Linked DNA regions of Rhinolophus ferrumequinum. The protein of the gene in region 2 purifies or fractionates together with the protein of the main gene of each other region. This does not show direct contact. Links are inferred from orthologs where the notes say so. Each region holds a gene or a part of one and is shown on either strand. Other genes may lie near its edges. The genes, in order: CDCA5, PDS5A, WAPL and SMC1A.

Region 1 (6,823 bases), on a different chromosome or scaffold from region 2:
AGTGGGTCCAGGTTGGGGTCACTGTCAGCTGCAGCCCGGCCCAGGCGAGACATGAGGACAAGGAGGGCCAAGAAGCCCAGCAGCCCCAGCAGCAGCAGCAGCCCCGCCCGCTGGAGCAGGGTCAGAGGCCGCTTACGAGACCCGGCCCGGCTCCTGGGGGGACGAGGGGAAAGTCAGATCAGGCCCCCAATCCCTGGGGGCCCCGCGGCCTGGCGAGGAGCCCTCATCACGATACTCGTCTTCTGGCCCCAGCACCACCATCAAGCCTCATTTCCTCAAGTGAGCCATGGGGACGAACATCCCTGGCCCTGGCCACTACAAGGGTGACCGTGCCGCTCAAACCAACTGAGGCACCGACTGTTCTGGAAACCGGAAGGTGTCAGACATGGGGACAGTTACAAAGATCGGGTGGTGGCAAAGCAGGAAGGGGCCTCAAAGAGCCCGAGTTGAAACCTCGTATGTAGCAGCTGAGGAACAGCCCTGGAGACGGCAGACCCAAGAGTTCTATTGCCAAGCAGAGACCTTTCTATTCAGCCCCAACACCGGGGCCCGATATTACCCAGGGACAAGCCTCTTTTGTCATGAAATTGTCGTGCCCGGGGACCGGCTCTCACTTCCCTTCCTCCCCCTTCCTGGCATCCTGCCCCACCTGACCCTGTGTACCTGAGCAGCTGGGCCAGCCAGCCCAGTGCAGGACGGCGACGGTACTTGTCATCGTCGTAATCCCCGTGGAGGCCTGGTGTCCGGTCATCGTCCCGCGTGTCATACACCTTCCTCGGGGCCGAGGCTGCAGGGGCAGAGCCATTAGCATACACCGGCTCGGGGAAACTGGCCCACAGCAGGGGGAGTGGGGACGGCAGGAGATCCTTGCCTTTCTCGGCCTGACAGTAAATCTCAGAATCGTAGAGCGGTAACGTCTGCGCTTAGAGTGAGGAAGGGTCCCTCCAGATGGGTCTCTGGACCCGAGCTCCCTTCACCCCACCCCTTTTCTATCCTCCTCTGGCCTAGACAATCCCCTGCTCACCATGAGTCATGGGCTCGGACCCGCTCATGTGGATCACCGTGTGTTGCTCAGGCCGGCTTGGGGAAGCAGGGGGCCGAGGGGCTTGGTTGTAGTAGGCTGGGGCAGCAGAAGCACTGGCTCTCTCTTCTTGTTCAGCGGTACCATTGGCTGTGGCACGAAGAGAGCCGTCAGCAGGGCAGGGAGGCAAGGGCCCCAACAGCAGGCGGAGACTGCCACTCACCATTAAAGCTGGACCAGTCAGAGAAGTCGGAGGTGTTGAGGGGCTCAGGCTCCGGGCTCACCACCTCATCAATCTGAAGGAAGGAACCTGTGTCACCAGCCTGCCCAGTGCTCTCCCCACCCACCCATCTGGCCCAGGTGGAACCCTAGACAGACAGAGGGACTCTCACCAGAGGAAGGCCCAATCCTGCCCGGGCCCAGTTGACGGTGGCCAGCTTCTCTCTCAGCGCGGAGGCCACGGGGCCAGCCAGGTTAGTTGGGGGGAAGATGGGGCCACTGCAGCTGGGGCACTGGTAGCCAGCAGGCGCTGTATTTTGGGGCAGCTGGGCAGCACGTTCATTGAGGCAGGCCCAGTGGAAGAGATCTTAGGGCCCATGAAATAGCAGAGGAGGGGCATGAGGAAGAAGACACTTTGTACCCCTAGCCCAGCAACAGCCCCTAGCCCACTGCAGGAACATATGCACACACACATAGAAGCCCAGGGCCACCTCCTTCCCATACTCGCCCCAGGTCCATTTCGTCAGTGTGCCCTCGGCCCTATTGGCTACCACCATCTGACTGAATCAAAGCAGATGCTACACAGCCTACCAGGAAGTGGGGATGGGTGGAAAGATGATGCCGTAAGCTCCTTGATTAGCTAACAGTTAATCAAGAACAATTTCAGAAGAGCTTCCTAGACATACACACAGGCACATATATGCCTCTACACCTCCATGGGCACACATACCTGTGCTTATATACACATAACCAAACAAGTGCCATCCCTGCATCTATCTTACAGGCACACTAACTCTCACACATACACATCTACACACTCACTTGTGTGCTAACACTCAAGCACCCTCACCCACACACTCTTCTGCAACCCCACGACACACCTGTATTCTTATGTTCACACGCAACATTTACCCATTCACTCACCCACAAGTACTAATGAACTCACTAACACTTATGTAAAGACACAAAGCACATTAAATTCATGCACGTATAGCCATGCACTCACACTAAGAAACACCTACGTGGAGCTCACTCTTTTGCACTAGCTTCTCCAAAAAAGGGAGCTAAAGCTCGTACACAACGTCAAGGTCATGACACATGTCTGCCGACTGCTTTTAGCTGACTCTACTATGGGAAACTCGCTTCCTTTCTGTTTAATCCTGGAATCAGTAATGGATCCTGAATGTCTGAAAGGCCCATGCCAGTCTGGCCAGCTCACAGCCTCAACCACGCCCACAAGTTTGACTGCCTCTTGCTCAACCCTTGAGATTGGAGGGAAGAAACTAGGAACTTTCATTTTTAAGGAGACATTGAGGCCTAGAAAGGAAAAATGACTTGCCTGAGCTTACAGAGCAGGTTAAGTAACCCAGCAGGATTAGAATCTGGGGCTCCAGCCTTCATGGCTTAGAGGGGTCTCACTGTCCTGCTACTTAGGGAGGGCTAGGAAACTAGTCACCAGGCTGGGCCTATCCTGATCCCCCCAGGTGCCCAGGCCTCACCATAGCAGACAAGGCGGGTCGTCTCCCGAGTGGCCAGGGGTATGTTGCACAGGCGGCAATTGGGGTTGTAGTCGCTATCTTGGAGCCACTGCAGGTAAGACTGTACGATGCACTGGAGTGGGAGAGAGAGGTCACAACTGGAGCTGGGCTCCACAGCCCAGTTCCCTAAGGCCCAACTGCCTCTTTATCTCTCATCACAGAGGAGACTTATCCTTTCGTTTGTTCAATCAATAAACATTTATTGAGCACATACTGTGTGCCACACTGTCTTAAGAGGATATAGGAGTGAACAAAATAAACCAAGTCCTTGCCCTCGTGGAGCTTCCATTCTAGCGCCAGGACCTTCATGGATTTGGAGGATGCCAATACCACTTGCCCTCCCAGTGCCCTGCTCAGCCGCTCCCCTGAAGGCCCCACCTTGGCGTGATTGGCTACCAGGCAGTGCTCGCAGACGTTGACCCGGTGTTCGAAGCAGAACAAGTTGGTCACCTTCCTCTTGGGGCACTTGCAAAGCCCCATGGTCGACCCTGGAGAAGAGTTGGTAGGGAGCTAGGTTCTGGTGGCCGCTACGCACTCACCAGCCCAGTTCGTTTCCATTTTTAACTCCCCTAGACACTCTCACGTTCGCCGGAGCCCCAACTTCCTGCCCACCGCCCCTCTTCATTCCGGACCACGCTCCCGGCATAAACCCCGCCTCCGAAGACCACTCTTTCCTCCTGGATCCCGCCCCCGGCCAGGCCCCTCCATCAGCGTCTCTCCGATACCACCGGCCCCGCCTCCAGGGGCCCCTCCTGAGTCCCACCCCTCGAAGCCCCGCCCCCACTTTCTCCACAGACCCCCTCTCCGTGTTACTGATCCACTCGGGCACGGGTCCCGACAGACGCGCGCTGGTCCAACACACGGAAGGACAGACACCGCGCTCCGCGGACCTCCAGCTCAGCTCTTTCCAGTTCGGGCCGCTCCTATTATGCCCCGGCTGCCACGTCTCTTCCGGGTGCGGCGCGCGCCGATGACGCCAGCGCGCCCCTGGCCCCACCCCGGCTGACGGTACACTTGAGACCGGTGAGGAAGAGGCGACCCAAGTACCGCGGCCCTCCCGCCTTACGCAATTTCCGCTTCCTCCTGGGTAGGGCGGGTAATCCGAACGTTTTTGCTTCAGAAAGGCCCTCGGGTTGGCGCGAGCCCGGGAGGCGGCGGCGGCGGCGGCGGCGGCAATCCAAACGAAGGCTAGACATGTCGGAGAGGCGAACGCGGTCTGGAGGGGCCTCTCAGCGCTCTGGTGAGGGGAGGGCGCGCGGGAGAGACGGGGCCGAGCTGTTTGAGGGTTGCAGTCCCATGACGAAGGCCCTCCCCGTACCGCCCTACGATGGATGACCCACGGCCCACCTTCCGCCCCGAGAAGGCTCCCCCAAAGTGCCTCTTGGGGGACCTTTTCTCACTGTCTCCAGAACCTGTGTTCCAGACCTTGAGGTCCAGAGCCCTCCCCTACCTCCTAACTTTTTTCTCTTTCCAGGACCAAACACCCCATCTTATCAGTCTCTGCGGAGGTCCCAGCGGAAATCAGGCTCCGATCTCCCCAGCACCCTCCCTAACATCTGGCCGAAGGTGAGCCCGGGGTTCCTCAGTTCCTACCCTAGAGGTCTCTGGACTCACGTAGAGCTCATGGTCACCCCTCTTCTCCAGGCACCCCCGGTGGCTCCAGTCAAAAAGCCCATCGTCTTGAAGAAGATCGTGGCCCATAGTGTAAAGGTGAGGACTGAGAGAGAGCTTGTGGGTGGGAACCACAATTAGGGGCCGGCTCTGTGATCAATAAGTGTTGTCTCCACAGGTCCCATCCATCCGCTCGCCTCGAAGGAGCCCTAGGGTGAGTTCATTTTCATTTGTTTTGTTAAGTAGAATCCAGGACATTCTGGAGCTGGGACAGACTGTAGAGGCTGGGACAGACTATAGTGGCCCACATTGTTTGCTCAGGAAGCTGTTTCGCAGTATTTTGAAACAGTTTGCCCTTGGACACCTGCAGGCATTGCCAACCTTGCTTACTCCTTATAGACTTAATATGTTTAGCTCTTGATGGTATGTTCAAGAGATGGTACGTTCTACCATTTTCCTTTAAACGTTAACTGTGTCCTAACTTTCTTTCTGCTCCATCTTGTCTGCAGTTTTTTTTTTTTTTTTTTAACTTTATTTATTTAAGTGTTTTTCCAGGACCCATCAGCTCCAAGTCAAGTAGTTTCAATCTAGTTGTGGAGGGTGCAGCTCACAGTGGCGCATGTGGGAATTGAACTGGCAACCTTGTTAAGAGCGCCGCGCTCTAACTGAGCCAAACGACCGCCCTTTGTCCTCAGTTTTTATTTACGGTTGTTGTAATATGAGTTATGTGTATGATGGCTTTGCAGTTTTAGCAGAAGTCAAGATGTTTCATTAAAATCTGTGCCTGAGGATATAATGAATGAGAAATGCCAACTGTTTTTGAGGAGCTCATGGGGCTTACAGTCGAGTGGGAAGAAAGACAAATGAACAGGTGATAACATAGTATGCTGAGGACTGCAATACAGAAAGAACTAGATGGTATGAAGGCACCTAACCCAGACCAGGTGGCTCAGGGAACATTTCATAGAAGAAGAAATATTTAAAATGAGTCTTTAATCTTTATAGACAAGTAGGAGTGTCTGTAAAGGAAGCTGTATTTGCAGAGATCTGGATTCCACACACACATTGAAAAAACAAGGTTTGGGGAGCAACAGCTTCCTTTCTTGGTATGTCTGCAGCAGACCTTGATAGAGGAGGGCGCGTGCTAAGCCAGAACAGAATAGATCCTGATGAGGCATGAAAGCTGTGTTTGAGACCTTGGGTTTCATCCTTGGCACTGCGGGCAGCTTTTGGAGAGTCTTAAGCAAGGTAGTGACTGAGTTAAACTTTGGTGTTTGAGAAAGCTCCCTCTTGGGGGTGGGGGTGGGGGGAGCTGGGTGGAGAATCGGCTGGAAAAAGACTGCCAGGGGTTCCAAGACCAAGTAGGAAGACTTGACAGGAATCCTGAAGTGACATGATGGGGGCCTAAAGTAAGGTGATGGCAAAGTGATGCTCCTCCCCCTGGCTCACCACATGACTGTCCTATCACACAGGACTCAGCTCAGTGGAGACCTCCTCCCGGAAGCCTTCCCTGACCACCCCTATCCAGTCACTGTCACATTTCTTAATGTAATTCTTAGGACTTATCAATGGCTCGGGGTAATTTGTTGTCTTTCTCTCCCCAGTAGGTGCCTTGAGGGCAGAGACTGCCACCTCCCCCATGGTAGTCACTCATTCTTGTTGGTTGACTAATAAATTCATGAGACAGTAAACAGAAAAGGCTGCGACGACTTGGGTGACTGCTTGGCCATAGGGAATAAGGAAGTAGTAGTCGGGTAACCGCCATGTTCAGCATCCCTTTGACGAGACGCATGGGGCATATTCTCCAGAGCTTGCAGTCGTGTCTCTTTTTGATAACCAATGGACTTCCTTCTAGCTGACTGTAAGAGTCATTGAATTTGTCTCATTTTCCTCTTGTCTGGGCTGCCAGACAGCTCAGTGCCAAGTTTCGTGTACATTAATTGGGTTTTGTGTACATTAACTTACTGAACACCTCTGCACGTGAGGCTGTGCTGAAGACGGGGGCACAGGCAGGGTCAGCCAGACAGATAACGACCCCTGCTCTCATGAAGCCCATATTCTATTGGGGGGATGACAGTCAACCAATGGACAAGCCCAAACCAGAAAGTGATGGTTGCTGTACAGGAGAGCGTTGTTGTGACAGAGAGCGACGAGCAGAGGTGAGGAGGGTCTGATCTAAACTCCACGGTAAGGGACAGCCTCCCTAAGGAAGCAGCCTCTGAGCTGAGTGGAATTATAGGGGACAGTATGTGAACCTCCTAATCCGCACGCTCTGTTCACAACCTTGCCAGGGCTCCCTGGGTCTCCCCTGACAGTGGCCTAGAAAAGGCCCTAGGATGCCCCCAATGACCTCTCATGCCCCGTCTTTAGTGCCTCTCCTTAACTTCCACTCGATTCAGGCACACGGGCCTGCTTGTTCCTAACAGGCACTTTT
Region 2 (7,482 bases):
TAGAAAGGCAGGAGGGAGAAAGGCAAAATCTTAAGAATTCTTGAGAATAGCAAAATTTTAACAGCAGGACATTTAAATTGGTTAATATATATGACAATGTCAACTTACAAAAGAACTCATACCAAATGGATATTCTAACCCAATGCTCATTCTAGACTTGGTTCTATGTCCATTTATGGTTGACAGCATTTCTGATATTTAATCTACTTTCAAGTGGAAAATGTATATATAGTTGCAACTTTTTTTAAACCAGCTTATCCATCACTAGAATTCAAGGTTTCAATATCTTTAATATGATAACAATAAAAAAGATCCATAAATTTTTTTCTTAACAGTTTTTAATTTCATAATTTTTCAGCATCTCAAAACACTCAATATAACCTTAAGAAGCATCAATTAAGCACCTCACTTCATGTAAAATCTTTGGTATCAAGATTTCAATGAAAAGTTTTGTCCTATTCCTTCCAAAGAGGCAATAAATAAATAGATCTTAAACTACAAGAATATTTTAAATATTCACAAGCACTCACGACACTGTAAACATTTACTAGGCACACTATACTAAGCTCTAAGAGCAAAGGGGCAACATCATTCCCTAAAACTACATTTTCACCAAGTTGCTCAAGGTAGAAACACTGTCAACATTGTTTCTTCCCTCACCTCCCACCAAGTCTGATTCTAACTCTGAATTGTCTCTTAGATCATCCTCTATCACTTTACTCCCACAATCATTGACCTACCTCAAGATTTCAGCATCTTTCCCCTAGACTATTATTAACAGTTCCTAGCTGGACTCGCTGCTTCCAGCCTTTCCCTTCTCCAACCTAGCCCCAACTGTGACAGCGAAATGTCTTCAGCACTGGGAAATATCCTTTGGGGGTCAAAGATGCCCCGGTTGAGGAGCACTGTATCAAGTTAATCCCTTACTAAGAATGCATTTCTTTCTTTTTTTTTTAAACTTTTATTTTAAGTGTGTTTTTCCAGGACCCATCAGCTCCAAGTCAAGTAGTTGTTTCAATCCAGTTGTGGAGGGCACAGCTCACAGTGGCCCTTGTGGATATCCAACCTGCAACCTTGTTAAAAGCACGTGCTCTAACCAACTGAGCTAACTGGCTGCACCCAAGAATGCATTTATTTTTTTTTTAAGGCTGTGGCCACAAAAAATTGACCAACATAATGCTGAAATTTACAACCTTGACCTAATAAACTAAATAAGCTGACTCCTTATAAAAAGAGCCATCATACTCTCTTTTAAAACCCTTTGGAACATATGGACCTAAAACATCATCTTACTTTAAGCCTGAATTTTGAAGTCAGTACCTTCTATCAAAGTCTAACCATACTTAGACACATTTAAGTTTCTGGATATTAGAAAATTGTGACAATTTAAAGACTACCTTTTGGGCTTAAATCAAGTCTCCTCAGATGATGAAAACAGGACTTCCTAGGCAAATTATTACCTACATTTAAGGTTGCAAGCTACTTTGAACATAAATATTTTCATAAATATTTCTACAAAAAAACTTTAAAAGTTGAATTCTTGAAAAACAGTAAGATTAAAACACACACACACACACACACACACACACACACACCCTTCTAATTTCCCATAATGATTATGTCCCCACAGAACTTATTATTCAAAGATACAGCCGAGACAGAATACTTTTCAGAGAGGGTAAAAGAGAAGGCGATAAAATATCTAAAAAAAAAAAAAAGGCCTGGTAGGATTAAATTCTAAAGGCCAGGCCTCGCAGTGGAGTAATACCACAGGAGACAGCACCTCTTACCACACCCGTCTGAAGTGTGGACATTCTGTCCAGACGCTTACCTTCAGTCGTTTGATCATTTCGTCGGTGGTGATCTTGTCGGTGATCTCCTTTACCCCCGGAGGGTAAGCAATCTTCCCGTCTGCACTCACGACGCCACAGAGGGCAGTTGCAGGCTTGGGCTGCGCGGTGGAGAAGTCCATCCTGGGGGACAACTTTTCTTTCACAGTCCTCTACCGGCCTCTATCGGTCAGAAAACAAAAGTTCAGCGGGAAAGGGGCGACTTTGTAACCTCTTTTTTCATTTCAAAAAATCTCTAATCTGCAAAGGGCCTTTTCTCCCGGAAGGCCGGGGATTCGGCGGCGGCCCCGCCACCCGCTCCTTCCCGGGGTATGGACCCTAGCGGCTTCCCCTACACACGCGGGCCCGGCTAGTCCCGGGCCCACGGGGCTTTCTGGCACCAGGCGCTGCGGCCGCGGGAAGCGCAGAGCAGCGCCAGGAGTTTCCCATTCCGCCTTTCACAATGAAATCCACCCCCAAGCACCGAGGTCCGAAGTTTGGAGGCCTGGGGAGTCCGGCGAGACCCACAAGCCCCCCGCTCCGTCAGAGAGAAGCCCCGAGTCTCCGCCGGGCCGGTCCCCTCAGGGAAAAGAGACACGAGGCCTATAGTGCTCGGCTTAGGCCGCAAAACTAGCGATCAGACCGGACCCACACGCACCGGCGGCTCCCGAGAACGAACGCCCTTGCCGGGCCGAGCTTCGGGACCCCGGGCGTCCCCGCCACGCTCCCGCCCCTCCCCTGTCCCGCTCCCCCACCCCTACGGGAGGGGAAAACAAGCCACCCTCCACCCTAAACCCCACGCCAGGAAGCGGCTGACGCGGCTCCGCACTTCACATTTTGTTCCTTCAACTTCGGCTAAGGGACCCCAGCGGCTTCTCTCGCCCCCGGCGACTCGGTGCCGTCCCGCGCCGCCGAGGCCTTACCGGCACCTCCGGGCAGCCCTGCCGAGCTTCGGTCCCGCGCCCCCCCCCCCCGCCTCCGATCTCCCCTTCCGTCCCCTCCCTCCACCAGCCGAGGGCGGGAGCCGAGCTGCCGCCGCCACCGCCTTTACCTCCTCCTCCTCATGCGGACAGAAGGTGCATCGAACGCCCGGGCCTCTGTCAGGTGGTTGCGCCGCCGCCCCTCGTCGGGCTGCACACAAAGCGGCTCCGCCGGTCCCGCCGCCGCCGCCGCCGCCCGCCCCGGAGCGGCGCTGGGGCTGGCGGTGCCGAGGAGGAGCAGCCGCCGCGGGGGGAGACGCGGGGCTAGTGTGTGCTGGGCGGGGAGACACTGCCGCTCTCCGTCTGGCTGAGGAAGAGCAGCCTCGGCGGAGGCTCCTCCGGGAGCGTGTGCGCTCGAGTCCCCCCGGGTCCCCGCGGCCCGCCTCCTCGCACCTCGCGCCGGCCGGGTCCGCCGACCCGGACCCGGACGCCCCTAGCAGCGGCGCGCGCCCCGCCGTCCGTGCCCCAGGGAGCCGACGCCTCGCGTACCCACCGGCCGGTCACGCGAGCGGTGCGAGAGCACGCGAGAGCAGGGCGCGCGCCTCGCTCCCGCCCCTTCCTCCGCCGGCCGTGCCTCCGCCTCCCTCGGGCCCGAGGCTGCCGCGCGTGGGGCAGACAGCGCCGCCACCCGGTTGGCGCCAAGACCTGCCGCGCCGAGCGCTACGGGGAGGACGAGACCCAAAAGGCGAGCAGAGGCGGCGGGAAGCGAACCCGGTCCCGGAGGCCCTGTGAGGGTACTCAGGATACTGTACCTTAAGCCGCGGAAATGAGTTCATGACTTTTGGGAGTTATCCTGAAGGACGTGGACGGAACTGGTTGAAAGATGGTTAATTACTCGGTGAAAATGGACTGATTTCCTCCCTAGGGACAGAAGATCTGCAGACGGAGGAAAAGTTTTGCGACATGGCACAACGTGGGCCGCTTATTCTTGTTCTTTCTGACAGCCACCGGAGTTAGCCCTTTCCTCTTTAGATTTCTAGAATGAATATTTTGAAAGCTGCAAAATACAAAAATAGCAGAGTCGAGTGGTTCTCAAAGAATGGTCTGAAAAGTAAGTTCCTGGGCTCCATCCACTCCCAAACCGTGGGACCCAGAAATAAGAATGTTTACAAATTAGCTAGATGGTTCGTGTGAATATGGAAGAACTCATTTTAAAAAGAAGTATTTTAGATATACCGAAGAATAACTTTTTCCTTCATCTAGAGGAAAACCCAATGTAGTGGGTTTGAGCAGTTTAATGTAAAAAGTTGAACAAGTGAACCTCAGAAGCACATTGGTGCTTCAGAAGACGAACTTAAAAAAAACAACAACCCACAATAGTATGAAATAGCATTCAGCTCTTGAAACTGACTACTATCACAAGTTTAAAATGATATGCGATTATTCATTTAAATTATTCTTGATGGGTATCCCTTGGTCTTTTCCACATCCTTTCCTTAATCTTAAAAATATTAGAGGTACTGCACTCATGAATTGTTTTTCAGGTATTACACAAGGGAGATTCCAATCGCTTGGAATCTAACGTGCCACAGTTGCTGATTTACTAGAACTCTGCCTGAAAGTCTGTGCTTTGTTCTTGGGCAGTTAGAGTAGCAGGCAGAATCCATTCAAGAGTGGCTCTTTAGGCTCTCCCTCTCGCAGTGTTTTTTTATCTGTCACATTTAAATACCTAAAGAGTGATTGATGCTTTTCATTTTCATTCTTTCTCTAAGTAATTTTACCCATTATTAAATGGAATTTTGTATATGCCCATAAATTTTAATTTTATTTATTATTTTGTTAATATTGTTTGACTTTATGAACTCAAAAGATAGTAAGCCCTAGGGATTACAACACATAAACTTATATATTCTATAATTCAGGAATTCTAAAATTCCTGTTTTTACTTCCTTTCTTAAACATTTCTTTCCACTTACAGTAAATGAGATACAATCATTTGTGCATCAATTATTTTAAGAGGACCAACAATTATTTTAAGGCATTGTTTTGGTCACCGAGAAAAAAAATTGGTAGTGGGGAAGGGGACAAAATTCCTGCCTGCCTTGTTGGAGCTTAATTTGGGGGGGAGAGAAAAACAAACAAACAAACAAACAAATAAATAAATTGTTATAGAGGAAAATAGAGAAGAAGGGTGATGCAGATCCAATATAGCCTTTTGGACCTTTGTCCTTTGGTTTGTACTCTGACTGAAATGGGGAATTATTGGAGTGTTTTAAACAGAGAAGTGACGTGGTATGATTTATGTTCTATGAACGAGCAACCTTGCACAAATTACTTCATTTTTCTATGTAAAACAGGGATACTCATTTTCATCTGTAAAACAGGGATAATAGTTTTTTATTTCAGAGGGTCATTATGAGGAATAAATAAGTGAACATTTGTAAATTGCTTAGAATAGTAACTGGCACATACTGAGCTCTACTAATTTATATATATATATATATATATATATATATATATATATATATATATATATATATATATATATAATGAAAGAATCACTCTAGCTGCTGGGTTGAAAATAATGTAGAAATGCAAGTGTAGAAGTAAGGTAACTAAGCATAGACAACTGCAAAAATCCCAAGGAGAGATAGTAATAAGAACAAGGTAATAACTAACAGTGGAGGTGATGAAAACGATTTAAGAAAAAGAGTAGAGTCAAGAAATTAAAGAGGACTCCAGAGTTTTAGACCTTAGTAACTAGGATAAAGTAACTATTAATATAACATTAACTAAGGGGAGCACTTCGAGTATGCTTGGAGCAGATTTAGGGTCAGGATGTCTTTTAGACATCTAAGCTATTTAAAAGTCAATTTAAACGGTTACTGAACTGCTGCAGTGGGTAAATGCATTGTACTATGGTAGGCACGGGGGAAATATTTAAAAAGCAAAGAAGACAAAGTCCCTGCCATTAACAGGATCAGAATCTATTAGAGGAATCAGAGACACAATGAACGATAATTCGAGGCAAGGCTGTGATATATTCTATAATAGAGCTTTGAACTACATGGTCTATGAGCCTAGGAAAGGAGTGCTATGGTAGCTTTCCAAAGAGGAGCATTTGAAGCTGGGCCTTGAATGGTGAGTAATCGTGGTGAGCATTTGAGGAGCATTTGAGGCTGGGCCTTGAATGGTGAGTAATCGTGGTGAGTAGTTGTGAGAGGGCAATAGCTAATAGAGATAAGCACAAGGTGGAAAATGGCACAAGGAAAAGAATAAAACACAAAGGGGCGGGGATGGAGGTAATTAAGTGTAATTTTCGGGCAGGGTAGGGTGGTATAGTTAGAACAAATTGAAGAAAAGAGTAGCTTCGTGAGTCTTATTCTACCCCACATAATTTCAGTCAGCACCCCTCCCAATATACACAAATACAAGCATACAGTCTACATACAAAATGACATCTAATGCACCTTTAGGATAAATCCTTATACCCCTATATCAACCATACTACTAACCACAAATTCTGTAGAGAAATTCTAGATCCAAACTCTAAGGCAGTTCTGTCCAATAGAAATTTCTGCAACAGTAGAAATGTTCCATACCTGCATTGTTCAATACAGTAGCCGCTAGCCACATTTTAATTAATTTAATTTTGAAATCTAAACAGCCACATCTGGCTAGTGACTACTGTATTGGACAATGCAGTTCTAGAGTATAGTTTGTAGGAGTGATTGAGAGAAGTTGAGGGTAGAAGACAAACTGTGTTCATACTGAATGCTGTAGCTATTTAGCACAGCGATATTTTAAAAGGATGAATTGGAGTAATACAAAACTAAAGTCATTTATAGTGAAAGTGAACTAAGACAAAAATATAACCAAATTATAAAATTGCAAAAATATTTAAAGCAGTTTTTAAAAATGTGTTTATTCTATTTATCTGAAATTACTTGATTTTCAATTTGAAATGTAATTTGCTAAATCTATCCCGAATAATTTTACAAATTATAAATATGAATCATCCATGTATCTCCGTCACAGATAAATTTTAACAATATGTCATAATCACTATGAAACTAAAAAAATGGTACTTTATTTTAGTGTCTTTTCAGATACCACCGACAGCTTAGATTTGTTAAATATATTTAGGCATAGGATAATAGCATATCTATCTGTAGTGAATGAAATGAGTTTGACATGTTTCACAGCTGTCTGAATCATTTTGGTCTAGTATGACCAAGACGTTAGGATTAACTTGTTTGTCATAGTAATTTAAAGATTTTATTTGAATTTTGTCTAATATCTTAGTCTCCATGAACATCTTCAATTTAAAGTGTGAAGTGTGACCCACCTCATTAGCTGTATTAGCTTTCTTTGAGTTGTTTCATCAAAATTGAGTATTATTTAACAAGCAGGGACCGCAAACCACAACGCAATATTTTCAAATATGAAAGAAACTACAGGTACAAGCAACATGGGTAAACCTTAGTGACATAATGTGATAACCTGTTTACAAAATCCAAAAGCAAGACTCCGGGCAGTGATTACCCCTGGAGTACAGGGGAAGCAGGCAACATAGGGGAACAAGATGAGAGAATAAGTGCAAAGGTAGATACATTCTTATTAAATCTTTATTGTTAGGCAGAGTGGTGGTTCACATGTGTTCTTTGTATTAATTATATTAATGAACATATGAATGAATGAATGAATGAATGAATGAGGGCAATCCACGGACC
Region 3 (7,292 bases), on a different chromosome or scaffold from region 2:
GCCAACCATCCCTGTCCTCATAGTGTTTATATTAGAGTGGAAGAAAACAAATGATAAGCAATATGTAAAACACACAGATGACAACTATAGAGAAAGATGACAGGGAAAAGAGCTACGAAGGCTGGGATGGCGAGGTAAGGAGCTGAGCTTTAGTAGCACGGTCAGGGTAGGCACTGCTGAGGAGACACTAGAGTGAAGACCTGAGAGGTGAGGGAGCGAGTCATGTGCATACTCACATCTCCAGGACTAGTGGAGGGAGCATCACCTACAAAGGCCCTGAGGCAGGAGCTGGTTGGGCACGTTCTAGCAGTAGACAGAAGCAGGCTTGGCATTGTGGGAAGGGATCGGAGCAGGCAGGGGCCAGATCATGCAGGACCTTGTAGGCCACAATAGGGATTCTGGATTTTAGTTTTGGTGATGGGAAGCTGCAGGAGGGTTATTGTTTTGGGGGGGAAAAGGGTGAAAAACCTGGGGTGAAGAGGGCTGTTTCAAGAGAAGAGTCAGGTAGCCAGACCTTTAGAGGTTGCTGGGTACCAATCCTCGTCAGGCAACATGTCCCCAGGGAATTTCTCTAGCTTTGTCTTTGAATTACCCAGACAGCAGTTTATTTCCCAAAGGGTATCACCATCTCTGGAGAACATATTCCAATTATCCTGGAAAACAAGGTAATTGGGATTATAGTAGTATTCATTTTCTCAATGCTCAAGATAAAAACTGATCCAAAGCAAAAACAAAAGGTAACTCCAGAAAGCACGCCCCTCTCCATTGGGAGGACCATCAACAATTTATGGAGCCACAGGTTATATGAAACTATTGTTAAGTTTCAAGGCACTGATAAATGCCCTGATAATTTTTTTCCTCCACATAAATGCCCTGGAGAAAAATAAAGTAGGAATAAGGAGCATTTGGGAGTGGGGTATTACTATTTAAAATAGGCTGGTCAGGGGGAGTTTAATTGAATAGTCACATCTGCCCAGTCTGCGCAGAGTTGGGGAGTGTCAGAGAGGAAGGGCCAGGGCCTGGCCCACATCTTGTAGGGTGTTCTAACACAACCACTACAGGGTCCAGTGTATGATTTGTAACTTTATTCCACAACCTATGACAAGGAAAACTTTTCTGTGGCCAATGTGGTAATTTCTGACTTTTAGTTCTCTGAACTGAATTTTATAAGTTGTACTATGTTTTACTACACATTATCAGTAAAAGACTAAACAGCTCTAATTAGTAATTCCAGTCTGACAGTTTCCATGGGTGTGCTAGAACAAAGTCACAGTAATGGCAATAACATATTTCTATTAGTTTTCTTTGCAGGATTTTCTTTTTTCGGCTAAAGCAAAGCATGAGTCCACCTAAGTGGAACTCAGGGTCATGGGAATCTTCCCTCCTGTAGGCAGCATACAGGAGGACAGCCTAGTGTCAGAGGGTACAAGCTTGGCTCAGATCCAGGATTTCAGTTTCCGGTATGATATTTAAAGGGGAAAAATATCAGACATCTGAGAGCTTGCATAGAGGCATTCTAGCAAAGAAAACACCCACTGGATACCTGGTGTGTGTGTGTATGTGAAGCTGATTCGAATGAAGTGAACCAATCTAGGTGGCAGAGTATAAATTGAGAGAACTAAGAAAACGAGCAATAAAATAAAAATAAAGCAAAAAGCTATTTGCCTATGTGTTATCCATCTGGAGTCCAGTTCGCTCACTCTGGTGTGGAACTCAGGGCCATGGCAAGGGAATGGGGTGGGCCCTTTGGGGCCTTTGCTTGGCCACACTGGAACCGAAGATGTAAAGGGTAAAGATGATGGTACAGCCTGCAGGCCCAGGGTCTGGACTTCCTCCAGGAGGGCCTCTAGAGTAGGCAGGCCGTTTTGGGTGTGGGGCACAGGAGGGTGGGAGCCCTACCACAGCTCTGCTCAGTATTCACATACTAAGCTTCCATATACTTTAATACACAATGTTTTACTTTTTAAAGCATGTACCATTTTTCTCCCAGATTCAAGAATACCTACAATAATGGAAATCTAATGTTTAATAAAAAGTTTGATTCCCTCATTAGTTGAGTGAATGCCGCCCTCTCCATTTCCTCACCTGTAAAATATGAACAACAGGCAAGGATGCAAATGAAGGGCCCGATGCACAGTAGGTGCTTACGGCTCTCCTTTTCCCCTCATCCAAATGAAAACTATCAGGTTGCTGGCAAATGCTACATATACTTCAGATCGGTGCTTGTCAACCTTTAAAGTGTGGACTAATCACCTGGGGGAATCCTCTGAGAGCGCAGATTCTGATTCTGTGGAGTTGGGGTGGGGTAGGGGTGCCACATTCCCAACAAGCTCCCAGGTCAAGCCTATGCTGCTGACTGGCAAGAATCTAACACTACTAAATTCCATTACTTTATACAACTACCCAACAAAAAGGGGCTCCACAGATTGTCTATTTCTTTAAAGAAAAAAGTCTTCCACTTTGGCTTAGTGCAGTCACTGTCCCAGCCCCGTGCCCAGCACTAGCCAAGCCAGGGCACAGTGAATCCATCCTTTGGTCTTGGAGGGTTCACAGCACTCTGCTACAGGAAGATCTTGAAATTGTCTCTCCACCACTTTTGGCTTTTTGATCTTAGCTTTTGCCTCTGATGATAATTATTCCTTAATTAGCACCCACCACTGTGTCATTTAAATAATTATAGTAAGAGCAGCTTGCACCTCTGCCGGCAATCTTCAAACAGATAAAACAAGATCCTATGCTGATTTAAAAAAAAAGACAAAACTGACCCAAATAAAACAGTTATGTGCACACCACCTCCAGTGGAATACACAGGTCTGTTATAACTTCCATTCATATCAGCTACTTAAGAGTTGATTTATTTTGAATCAAAGAAAGTTCCGATAGAGTATTTGGGAAATTGTAAATGTCAGAATATTAATTTTGCAAGCAGTGGCGCTAAAGTAAAACAATTCAACCACACTAAGATCCGCCTTGAATTCCTATTGGGAAGGGCTGCAGGATGTCTGAACTATTTTTTCTTTATTCAGAGTTTTTGGAGGAGCTTGGTAACTTCTGGGTGCCATCAAAGCAAATAATCCATTGCTTTTCACTGAAAGCAATCAGTAGTTTTCTAATTTCCCCGGTTGGATCTCCATTAACCGCCCACCAAACAGGGCCATCGGAGCCCGATGAGTCATGCACCTCTTTACCGAGATGCCGATCGCGCTCCTCTTTACAACGCCGTTTTCCCACTGCAGCCTTAAAAAAGCAAAATAAAATTAACCCCCCCCAAACTTTCTCCTTTTTTGAAAAGGTAATACACTGACCCGAAAAAACCTTAAATGGCACAAAAAAGTGTACAGCGAAAAATGAAAACTCCTCCCATTGTCTCCCACCTCCCTGTCCTCCGCAGAGGCAATCACTGGTTCATTTCTTCAAACTTTTTATTATGGAAAATTTCAGATATACAAGTAACAGAGACTGAAATAATGCGCCCATGTGTACGCATCCCGCTGGCTTGTTTGATTCTTCCTCCTTTAGTTTTTATAGGAGTTAAAGTAAATTCCAGACATCACATTATTTTGTAAAAACTTTAGAACATCTTTTTTTTTTTTAAACATAACCACATTGCCGTTATCACACCCAACAAGGTTAACGATAATTCCTCAATACCATCTATATCTTCGTTCACTTTTAACGGGTGCGGGGCAGACGGAGGGAGAACTACGAAGGTTAAGGACGGATGAGTTGGAGGGGGCGCATTAAAGAGCCGCGGCCCACATCTCTCCTGGCTGCGGCAGTCAGGTATCCAGCGCCCTGGGCCTCCCCGTTCCCGCTGTCGTTACCTGCGCCGAGCCAGCACCGGCCAGGCCGGGTCGAGGGCGGCTTCGAGCCGCGAGCTCCCCGCTCCCGGGAGGCGGTTCCAACAGGCCCGGCGCAGCTGCACAACCCACCGTCCCCAGACACCGGCGGTTCCCTGGAGGGGAAACGATTGACACAGCTGCCTGCACTGCGCCCCCGACCCTCCCCCGCGACACCTGCGTCTCCCAGCGGGGTCAGGAGCTGGCTCCCGAGCCCGGGGAAGCCAAGGCCTCGGGACCCGCTGCGCCCGTCTCCCGCTCCCGCTCGGGACTCTCAGCACCGGCGACCTCGCGGACCGGGACTACAACTCCCGTCGGGCCCCGCGGCCGGGCCAATGGCGGGCGCCGGAGCATGCGGGGCGCGGCGCCTGCGCGGCGGTTTGAGTAAACGGCCGTGTGATTGGCTGCGGGGTCGGGCGGCCGCGCGGGGCCTGTGGGAAGCGGAGTGACGGAGCGAGCGGCTGTTGGAGGAAGGAGGTGGGGGCCGGGAGCGCAAATGGCGTTGAGATGGTTCAGGGCCCTCTTCAAACTCCAGCGCTGACCATTCACCGGCGGAAGCGGCGGCGCAGGAGACGGCGGCGGCCCAGCGGGGGCACGTAGCGGACTCCACTACCGGCTCCGGTGGCCAGGGAGGCCTAGGCCCAGGCCCGGCTGGCGGCGCTCAAGGCGGGGAGGGAAGTTGCGGTGCTGCCGCTCCTCCCCCCGCTTCCACTGGGTTCCTATTTACCGCGATCGGAGTCGCGGGTTCTGACCGTGGCGGTGCCCCTTGCGTCTCTTTGCGCACCAGCCGGCTCTGTCCTCCTGCGCGGGACTCCGGCACCCGCCCGTGGGCCTTTGGGGGCGGGAGAGGCGGAGGCGGCCCGAGGCCAAAGCACCCGCCAGGCGCCGAGGGTAAGTGAGGTCTCGGGCGGCTGCCTAGGCCCGGAGCGAGCCAGTGAGAGTGGGGGAGGCAGGGGTCTGGCAGGGGGTGATGGAAGAAGTCTCGCTATCTCACCTACCCGGCCTCTAAGGAAGTTGGGCAGCGGAACGACCTGAAGAACTCTTTTTTTTCCCCCTCTCTTTTATTTGTCCTTTTTTTGAGTTCTTTTTGGGAGGCTGCTGATTTACTTTCCTCCCCAAGCGCGGTCGAGTGTGTTCGTTTCAGCCCCAAATCCTTCGCCGTCTTTTCCTCGGCCCCTGGCCGTCTCCGAGGCCTTACACTGCCCTGGGGATTCGGTGGCAGAGGCTTCCGGGGCGTCGGAAGCAACATCCCTTTCCTGGGCGGTGGGGGCGGGGAGGAGAAAAGTTGCGTGAGCTTCCAGCCATAGGGGGGCCGCTTCTCCCGCTACCCCTTGGCGCACCGACCGCCCGCAGGTGAGGATTTCTGGGTGGTTAATTTTGCCTATTCCGGCTTTCATTCCTAAGCCCTTGGGGAGCCGAAAGACTCGAGATTTGGACGGGGGTTAAAGTGTGAGGACTTTTTATCCCATTGCACTTTCCCTGAAAATTCGACCTGGGCTAACGAAAAGGCCCAGCGATCGCAAAGACTTAATGTTAAATCATTCTTCCCTTCATAGTTAGTATGATAGTCTTTGGAAGGGGAAGCCTGAGCTAGCCTTATGTACTTGAAATATTCTTATAATGTCAAGTATGTCCACACACTTAGTTTTGAATTTTTACGTACTTGACACTAACTCTAGGCTTAGATAATGCCATCACAATAATCTGTCTAGTGACTTTAAAAAAAAGGCATTATAGAAAACTAAAGGAAATCAAAAGCAAGGGGATGTTATGTAATGAACTCCATGTATGTACTCATCTTAGATTGAACAGTTATTAACTCTTCACTAAATTTTTCTCGTTTCCATGCTTTACATTCCACACTCCTTGAAGTTAGAGAATCGTTGGCATTATTTCATCAGTATTTCAGCATATATTTGTAAAAGATATGAACTCTTAAAAAACAACCATGATTTTGTTATCATTTAAAATAATTAACTTCGTAATACCAAATATTCACCTGCAGACTTCCAACTTGGGACAGTGAATGCTTTGTGGTTCTAGGACTGTTTTGCAATGAGTTTTTCTGATGTGGGCCTAACGGAGTTGAAGTCTAGATTTTTGGTTTGGCATTTAGTCAGCATTTTTAGGTCATTACGGTGTAAGTGTGTCCAAATCGTCCCACCTTTGTTGGTGTATGTAAACGTAGATCAGTAGATCAGGACTTTACATTCTTAGAGAAATGAAACGAAATCACTTTATTCTGTAGCTTTGTTTTGTTTGTTATACTTAAGAAAGACAATAAGATTCTTAGTGTAAATCTACAGTAGAAGGGGAAATAAATCTCCCTTAGGAAAATGTTTTGTGACATGTTAAATGGTCTTCAAACAAACTACATACTCTTAATGCACATGTGTATGATGACTAAATTATTTTGTCAAATTAGCATTGGCTTCTAACCAAATACGAAAGGGGAAAATTTTCTACTGAATATACATAAAACTAAATTTATAGTGATTCACTATAGATTGCAAGAATTTAAGTTAATAAAGGGAAAACATTTATAAATCAAAACATATTCAAATGTGTAAGTCAATTACTACTCCAGTTGTATTGTAAATTTCAAAGTATGAAGATTTTTTTCAAGCCCCTAGGCAATTGTTTTTCTAGTTACTTTTAATATATTGATATTTAAACTTTAGAAGGTCAAAGTGTAAGAAATGGATACGAATTGATAGTGTTTAAAAAGTGCTGTAATTAGTTTTTAAAAATGTTTGACTTTTGATTTTTGTCCTGAAAATTTTTTTTGTCCTAGAATTTTTATTAATATGTAGATAAAGCAGATGAATCTTTTATGAATGGAGAGGAAAATAAAGTTAAATGTTTCTGTTGCTTATTTTAGTAATCCATGTACCACTGTAATATGCTGGGGTTCAACAGCTCCAGAAAATGTAATTTCAGCAAATGAGCACAGTATTATAGGGACAAAGAAGGTAAATTAAATGGTTTCTTGTGCTAGGGAGATGACCAACTAAGGAATATTTTTCAAATCACACTTCAAATTACATTAGACCAAGAATCAGAATCTTTAAGTTTGGGTTAAAAGCTGCAGGTTAAATGCATGAGGAAATAGCACAGTTTTCCCAAGCCCTTATTAATAAGTACTCTGAAATTTCAAAGAATTAAATTTTGACAATTTGATATTTCTGAGATCCTGCAAAATGTGAAATTTTGTGCTTAAGATTTTTACATTAGGGATTGATTACCCTATTAACATTATTTTTAAACATAAAAGTGATGTTTATGAGAATAGTAAATAGTTTCATTTGAAACATTTAAAAACTTGATGTTCCAGTATAAGTTGGTTTTGTATATGCTGTATTGAGTTGGTTAGTCTTATTTTGTAAGCAGCATATGAATATATGCTCATTGTTTAAAAAGTGACATGGAAGTATTTAGAGTAAAAAATGAGCC
Region 4 (7,807 bases), on a different chromosome or scaffold from region 2:
AAATGTAAACAGTGTAATAGTAGGTAACAAACCAGGGAAGAAATGGAGTCTTCTTTTAACTGTATTATAGCCTTTGGTATTTTTTTGAATTTTATACCATATGCATTGATTAGCTATTCAAATACATAAAATTGTTAACATTAAGAGTGACAGTTTTTACTTTCTTCGTTTTAGACTCAGGAAAAAAACATTTTAAAAAATCTGGACTGGGACTGGAGGTGGGGAATAGTTTAATCTCTATAAATTCTATCTCAAGATTCTCCCCAACTATGTTATATGACAGTGAACTTTGGATCTGATTTCCAACACCGATCTACTCAGCTATAAAAACGGTAGCCCAGGTCCTTCCATGGAGGCAGCACAAGACAGATTAAGAGCTCGGGGTCTAGTCCAATAGACCAGGTTGTATAACCTTAGTTTCACTACTCCTTAGCTAACCTTCTATTCCCTCACCTGAAAAATGTGAAAAAGCATGACTCATAGGTGAAGCATCTAAAACGATGCTTGGCACATAGTTGTCTGTTAGAGTGGCAAGAGCAAAAGCTTGCAAGTGTAACAGACATGGGTTCCGATTCTGGCTCTGAGAACCAGTATGCAAGTCATCACAACTCTGTGCCTCAGTCTCCTCAAGTATAAAACAAGGATAACGGGATCTCCCTTCTAGGGTTATTGTGAGAATTTAAATGTAAAAGGTCCCAATAAATAAAGTACTTGACATACAGTAGGTGCTCAAAAAAACAGTAGCCCTATCCTAACAACAGTTCTAGACTCAGCTGTCTCCCTCATCACAGCAGGACTAGCACATCATGCAGACCCGGAGTCAGCCTTTTAGGCACCCATTTCCAACCTTTGGGCTTGTCCCATGCTCTCCAGGAACAGTAAGAATATCTCACAACCCAAGGCCTCCCTACTCACAATCACTCAATATTGTAAACATTTTTAATAACATGTATTATGAGCTGAATGAACAGTGATACAGTTTTAAGGAATGTCTTCTTTGGGGCATTCATAGCACAGACCAGTGATGAAGATACAAAAACATGCCATGAATACGAGACAGGAGAAACCAAATGTTCAAGTGTATCAAGTGTCTACTGTGTGCCTGAGAGGAATCAAGGAATGCCTTGTGGAGGTGGGCACTGAAGAATGGGGGGCGTGGGGGGGCGAGGAGGACAGTCAGACCAAGAGCCTTTTGGAGCAGCTGAGGGGGCTATACAATGAGGGGACTAATGCCAAGAGGTGCATCCTGGCTCTTTCCCCCACACCAAAATACTAAGAAACTGGAGTGGGACCCCAAGTATTAGCCCTCCAGGCCAGTGGTTCTCAAACAAGGTTGGGAGGGGATGATTTCCCGCCCCCTTCAGGGGACATTTGGTAAAATGTCTGGAGACATTTTTGGTTGTAACACCTGGGGGGTAGGGGTAGTACTGTCAGTAGTGGGTAGTAGCCGAGGATGCCGCTAAACATCCTACAATACACAGGACCGACCCCTTAACAAAGAATTATCTCGCTGGAAATGTCAGTAAGGCCGGGGTTGAGAAACCCTGCTCAACCGAGCCAAACCGGGGCAAGACTCCAGGCAAGGCTGTCAGTTAGAGCTACTTCAGCAAGGGCAGCTCCCCTCAGGCTAGGAAATGATTTAGCTAGAACAACTCTGGGGTGAAGCACAGCAGGATTCCAAACAAACACTCGTGGGGGTAGATGGGAGGAATCCATGGTGTATCGTTTAGAGATGGGAAGTTCAGATATGTAACAGAGGCCTTATCTAACCACCCTTTCTTTTTTTCCCAGTTTCACTGAAACAGAACTGACATGACATATTAGTTTCAGGTGTATACCATTATGATTCCACATTTATATAAATTGCAAAATGATCACCGCAATTAGTTAACATCCATCACCTCACATAGTTAACATTTTTTCCTTGTGATGAAAACTTTTAAAATCTACTCTCTTAGCAACTCTCAAATATATAACACAGTACTGTTAACTACGGACCACTCTTTCCAAAGACACCATCCACGTCACTCTATCACATCAACCTGTGTTATTTCCTGCACAGCAGTTATCACAACCGAAAATTATTCTATTTTCTCCTTTATTATTGTCTTTCCCATCTGGAATGTAAATTCCCTGGGAGCAAGGCTTATTCTATTTTCCGCTATTTCCACAGCACCTTGAATAAATTCCTTATAAAACAGTAAGCATTCAACAAATTTGGTGAGCGAATAAGTTCCGAGTTTTAACGGTTTCAGTGGTAGCAAAGGGGCGAGTTCGAGGCATCCCCACCTCTAAAATGGGGACGGGGTGGAGGGTCGAGACGCGAGCGCTGGGTCTCAAATTCAAAAGTGCCGCCTCCGAAAAAGAGTTTAAAAAAAAAAAAGAGGAGGAGGAATTGGAGCGTACCAATGCGAAGCGGGACGGGTAAGTGTACCGTTTGAGACCGGAGGTCACGGGAGGGCTACCAGCAGTCCCACATCTTCCGGAGGGTTCTTACAAGGCGGGGAATCCAGCTAGCTGGCAGCGGGCTCGGGACCGCCACTTTTGGCGGGAGGGGGCAGAGGGCGGGGGAATATAGAATCCGGGGCGTACCACTGGGGCCGGAGCGGGGGCCGCGCGAAGAGCGGCCAACTGACACCTGGGGAAAAGGTTCAAGTCAGAGCTCCTGAACCGGGAAAGCAGGTTTGGGCCGAACCCCCTGAGGAGCGGCAAGGAACCTGTTAGGGTTCCCGACATTTCAAGTGGCACGGGCTGGGCTGTACTACTCTGCTGCTGGATAGGGGGTCCGGGACGTGCCCATGGCCGCAGCCGGGTTTATCTTACCAGAGCCATTGGGTCCAATGATGGCGGTGAACCTCTGAAATGGTCCGATAATCTGTCGACCCTTGTACGACTTAAAGTTCTCGATCTCAATCAATTTCAGGAAGCCCATGACGGCTACGGCGCCGGCGGCGGTACGAATGGCCGCGCCGTGCGCCGAGGAACCGAGGTAGCCTGCGCGGGAAACACCGCAATGCAGGCCGGGCGGACCCCAAACGTCGCGAGAATAAGTGCAGGTCGAACGGGATTCCCAGCTTCCCGTGGGCGGGAGCTAGGGGCGGGGCCTTCGGGCTGACGCGCAGGTTTGTTGATCCGTTGCCAAGGAGCGAGCCTACGACGAGCGTTTGGCCCCGCCTCCCTTTCTTGTTGCTTGGCAACGCAGAGCGCCGCCACTACTGAGAGAATTGCAGAGGCAGCGGTGCGGGAGACTGAACAGCTTTCAGGATCTGAAAAAGCAGACAGAGTTCACTCTTGCTAACACAAGTCTGAAGTCACTACAGGGTTATGCCCTGCAGGGCGAGAGGAAGGTGGGAGTTCGGCTTTAGCCTGGCGGGCCAGAAGGCTCAGACAAGAATAGAGTGGGGTACTGGAAGGACCCCGGGGAGCGGGGAGCCGGAGGCTGTACAGGAAGGAGGGGCCAGCGGGAGGATTCGGTGTTAGATGGGCTCAGATCCTACTATGGCTCGGGGTTGGAGGCGGAGTGGGGTGGAGTTAGAGGTGGGATGGAGTGTGAAGGGGGATGGGGTGTTAAGAGCTACGAGGGTACTCGAGCCACAGGGATAGGGCTGGGGAAAGCCGTGGCCAGAGGTGCTACCCCTGTCCCCTGCCTCCCTCCTTTTCTTCCAAGCAGAGTTCAGAGACTGACGCTGTAGCCCAAGAACAGACTTGGACCTGAGCCACTTGTTGGCTATTTGAACCTAGACCCCACCTAGGAGCTTCAAAATTGGGACGCCTTGATAAGAAAGGTATTTTGTGTGAACCCTTAGGAGTCAAGGTCCCTAACCCAGTGTTCTCCACCTTTATCCTTCTTCTCTTCTCCCCCCTTTATCTATCTCTCTCTTCGTGCCTCACCTCCATGCCATTCCCTCCTCTCCATCCCCCTCTGCCCCATCCCTTGCTTTCCCCTTCCTCTTCTCTCTCTGCCCTCTGTCCTCCACACCCACCAACCGCCCTGTTGCTCTCCTTCTTTCCTTCTCTGCCCCCTCACTCTGCTCTCTCTGTCCCTTTCCTCTCTCTGTTCCCAATCTTTTTTATCCCTCCCCTTCGTCGCCTCATCGCCGTATCACCTTATACCTGCTCATTACCATGGCCATGGCCTTAGCAGTCCAAGAAGTTTAAAATGTCTGCTGAGTCTTCCCCTTCAGTGACCTTATATTGTGGTGACAAATGGAATGAGTAGGCTGGAGTTGGTGCTTAGACTTAGACATGGAAAGGGTCTGGTGGTTGCCATAGCCATTCCTGTAACTATTGTTTAAATGATGTCCAGAGGCTGAAAAGAGTCTTAAAGTTGTAGGACAAGTCCAGGAAAGTGAGCAAGTTTGGTTGATAGACTCTAGTAGAGAAGAGCCATAAATGAAGTTCAACTGGGAGGAACAGTCATGGTCAAGCTGAGGAGTAAAATGGCCAAAGGACAGCAATCTGACGTGAACTATTGTTTCATTTTAAAAGATGAGCTGGAGCTTGGGGGGAAGAATCAAATTGAATCACTGCCTCTCATACCATACACAAAATGCAATTCCAAATGGATTAAAAACTTAAATGAGAAAGGTAAACTTTAGAATTTTAGAAGAATATACAGGAGACTATATGACCTCAAGGGATTCTTAAATAATAAAAACTATTATCAAATAATAATAAAGTGAAAAGACCAGACACAAATTGGAAACGTTTGCCACATATAAACTAAGAAATGGTTAGTGTGTAGAATGCATAAGGAACTCCTAAGATTAATAAGAAAAACAACCTGATTTTTTAAAAAAAGAACAAAAGATATGAATGGGCACTTCACAGAAGAGTAAACAAAAATGGCCAAAACACACATGAAAAGATATGCAACCTCATTAGTGATATGGAAAATTCCAATTAAAATTGGTTATTATAATTTTACACCCACACATTGGCAAAAATCAAAAAGTCTGCAATACGAAGTGTTGGTGAAGATGTGAAGTAACAAGTTTTTATACACTATCGTCAAGGTGTAAACTGGTACAGTGTCCTTGGAAAACAAGTTAACATTATCTTGTAAAGTTAAATACGCTTTAAGTGTTATGATCCAGCACTTACACTCCTAGGTGTAGGCTAGAGAAACCTTCCCACCTGTATATATGTCTCTTTTAATCTACAGGTTCCTCCTCTCTCTTTTTCTCTTGCAATTACAAAAAAATACACTGAGTTTGTGCCACAGAGTCCTAGTCTCTGTTGAACCCACTTCAGTCAGGCTTTTGGCCCCATAACCCCCCCCCAAGAATGTTCTGGTCAAGGTCATCAGCAATCCTCATGTTAGTAAATCACTTCTCAGTCCTCCTCTTAACCTGTCATCAGTTGCTCACTGTCTCCTCCCAAAAGCACTTTCTTCACTTGGCTTCTCTGACTCTCCTGGTTATTCTCCCACCTCCCTGGCCAGTTCTCCTGAGCCTCCAGTGCTAGGTCCTCCTCTCGTCATCTCCCCCTGGGACACTGTTACCCATTTACATGCGCTCCCTTAGAGATCTCTTATAGCCTTAGAGCTTTAAATTCCTTTGTATCAGTCAGGATTGGTTAAATGATGCGAAGGTGATAAACAACCCCCAAATCTCTGCAGCTTATAAAAACAAAAATGTATTGCTCGCTCCCCCTTGTCCATTGTGGGCTGGCTGCATCTCTGCTGTGTCATCATCCCAGGACCTAAGCTGAAGGAGCAGCCCTTACCTGGGACATCACCAGTCTCATAGCAGAGAGTAAAGACAAAAAGTGGCTCTCACCTAACAGCCCGTAGTTCTGCTTAGGAATGGCACGTGTCAATTCTCACACTGGACAGGGCAAAGCAAACGTCATGGCTAACCTCGAGGGCAATGAGATAAGGACGTAGAATGTTCCTGTAGACAGGAGCAGCAAATCTTTTTGAACAATAATAAAATGTATCATACCGTTTGTATGTGATTGATGGACATCTATTAGACTCTCAAACTCAGCAGTCCAAAACTGATCTCCTGACCCTCCCCCCATCCCATACATCCCATCTGCCCACACAGACTGTTCAGTTGATAATAAGTGCATCCCTCGGATTGCTGAGGCCCAAATCCTTGAAGTTATTCTTGATACTGCTCTCACACCATACATGCAACCCATCAGGAAGTCCTGTCGGCTCTGCCTTCAGAATCTAACCACTTCTCACCACCTCTGCTGTTACCAACCTGGTGTGTCTCTATCATCTCCTGTCTGGACAACTGTGACAGCCTCCTGTCTGGTCTCCCTGCGTCTAGCCCTGCCTCCCGTACCTCCAGTCTATTCTTCACACAGCAGCTAGAGTGATCCTTCAGAAATCAAAGGCAGAACACGTCCTTCCCGCTGCTCAAAACCCTCCAATGGCCGCCCATTTCTCTCAGAGTAAAAGCCACAGCCCTTACAGTGGTCTGCAAAGTCCTACATTCTCTGTCCCCTCTGTCATCTCTCTAATGTCATTTCCTACCTACCTCTCCTCCACTCACACGCTTGCCACATGCTGAATGTGTGCCCCTCATGTCCACCATCAGGCCTTAGCACTTTCTGTTCCCTTTGCTTGGAGTACTCTCCTCCTAGATATCTGCATAGGTGACTCCCTCACCTTCTTTAAATATTCGCTTAAATATTACCTTCTCAGTTATGCCTCCACTGACTTCAATATTTAAAATTGCACCCCCATTTCCTTGGCACTTCCAGTTCCCCTTATCCTGTTCTATATTTTTCCCATAGCATTTATCATCTTACAAACTATTTAATGTACTCTTTATTGTATATCTGCCCCCACTAGAAAGTAACATCCACAAAGACTCAGATTTTTATCACTTATGCTGCTTGGTGTCTCCCAGTGCTTCAAGGAGTGTCTGACAGTAAGAACTCCACAAATACGAGGTATGATCAAACAATATAGTGAATGTTTAAATTTGAAAAAATGTGTTACAGTAAAAGACACATTGCCCTTAATCCCCCTCAAAATACTCCCCCTCGCTTCGAACACACTTATCCCATCATTCTTGCCACTTTCTGAAGCAGTTCTGGAAGTCCTCTTTCATTGAGTGTCTTTAGTTGAGCTGTCGTGACTGCCTCAATGTCCTGAATCGATTCAAAACGTTTTCCTTTCATGGTCATTTTGACTTTGGGGAAGAGCCAGAAGTCGCACAGTGCCAGATACGGTGAGTAAGGTGGAAGAGGACACACTGTAATGTTTTTGACAGAAATTGCCATATACCAGAAGTGATGTGTGACATGGAGCATTGTCATGATGGAGGATGAAGTAAAGACATGAAAGGAGACTTCCAGAACTGCTTCAGAAAGTGGCAAGAACGAGGGGATAAGTGTGTTCGAAGCGAGGAGGAGTATTTTGAGGGGGATTAATGGCAACGTGTCTTTCACTGTAATAAATTTTTAATTTAAACATTCACCATATTGTTTGATCACACCTTGTATATTCTAATATTTCATAGTTACAAAATGGTTTTTCAAAAAAGATTGCAACTAGCTAGAAGAAGAGTTGAGGAATGGTGTTGCAAACAAAAGAATGGCAGTGTATAAAGGCGGAGGTGGGAACAGTTGTTTCATTGGAGGACGTGATGGAGGTCAGTGTGCCTGGAGCACTGTCAGCGAGGAAGCCGGCCACATGAGATCAATTCCAGACGTGTGCAGGGACCAGATCTTGAAAGCCCACAGTCAGGAGTTTGGATCTGATTCTAAGGGCGTGGGAAGCCAGTAGAGAGGGTTTTAAGCCGGTGAGAAATATGATCAGATTTATGTTTGCAAAAGTGTTTTTGGC

The links.
Region 1: the proteins of PDS5A (region 2) and CDCA5 purify together in Homo sapiens (affinity purification with mass spectrometry; 4 studies listed by BioGRID and IntAct, with this or other methods). This does not show direct contact. The link is inferred for Rhinolophus ferrumequinum from reciprocal best matches to the Homo sapiens genes PDS5A and CDCA5.
Region 3: the proteins of PDS5A (region 2) and WAPL purify together in Homo sapiens (affinity purification with mass spectrometry; 6 studies listed by BioGRID and IntAct, with this or other methods). This does not show direct contact. The link is inferred for Rhinolophus ferrumequinum from reciprocal best matches to the Homo sapiens genes PDS5A and WAPL.
Region 4: the proteins of PDS5A (region 2) and SMC1A purify together in Homo sapiens (co-immunoprecipitation; 8 studies listed by BioGRID and IntAct, with this or other methods). This does not show direct contact. The link is inferred for Rhinolophus ferrumequinum from reciprocal best matches to the Homo sapiens genes PDS5A and SMC1A.

Annotation. Positions count from the first base shown.
Region 1 is NC_046294.1:6,519,007-6,525,829, forward strand, and holds the start of CDCA5 (sororin), read left to right. Parts: upstream 1-3,806; 5' UTR 3,807-3,972; coding exon 3,973-4,018; intron 4,019-4,252; coding exon 4,253-4,344; intron 4,345-4,422; coding exon 4,423-4,488; intron 4,489-4,567; coding exon 4,568-4,603; intron 4,604-6,823. Other genes in the region: ZFPL1 (zinc finger protein-like 1), read right to left, coding at 1-153, 664-787, 1,025-1,171, 1,245-1,317, 1,414-1,607, 2,740-2,851, 3,157-3,258. UniProt on the Homo sapiens protein: Regulator of sister chromatid cohesion in mitosis stabilizing cohesin complex association with chromatin. May antagonize the action of WAPL which stimulates cohesin dissociation from chromatin.
Region 2 is NC_046288.1:14,335,896-14,343,377, reverse strand, and holds the start of PDS5A (sister chromatid cohesion protein PDS5 homolog A), read right to left. Parts: upstream 3,022-7,482; 5' UTR 2,881-3,021; intron 2,790-2,880; exon of another isoform or gene 2,659-2,789; intron 2,013-2,658; 5' UTR 1,973-2,012; coding exon 1,832-1,972; intron 1-1,831. UniProt on the Homo sapiens protein: Probable regulator of sister chromatid cohesion in mitosis which may stabilize cohesin complex association with chromatin. May couple sister chromatid cohesion during mitosis to DNA replication.
Region 3 is NC_046299.1:61,528,878-61,536,169, reverse strand, and holds the start of WAPL (wings apart-like protein homolog), read left to right. Parts: upstream 1-4,289; 5' UTR 4,290-4,730; intron 4,731-7,292. UniProt on the Homo sapiens protein: Regulator of sister chromatid cohesion in mitosis which negatively regulates cohesin association with chromatin. Involved in both sister chromatid cohesion during interphase and sister-chromatid resolution during early stages of mitosis.
Region 4 is NC_046284.1:82,385,115-82,392,921, reverse strand, and holds the start of SMC1A (structural maintenance of chromosomes protein 1A), read right to left. Parts: upstream 3,014-7,807; 5' UTR 2,933-3,013; coding exon 2,824-2,932; intron 1-2,823. UniProt on the Homo sapiens protein: Involved in chromosome cohesion during cell cycle and in DNA repair. Central component of cohesin complex. The cohesin complex is required for the cohesion of sister chromatids after DNA replication.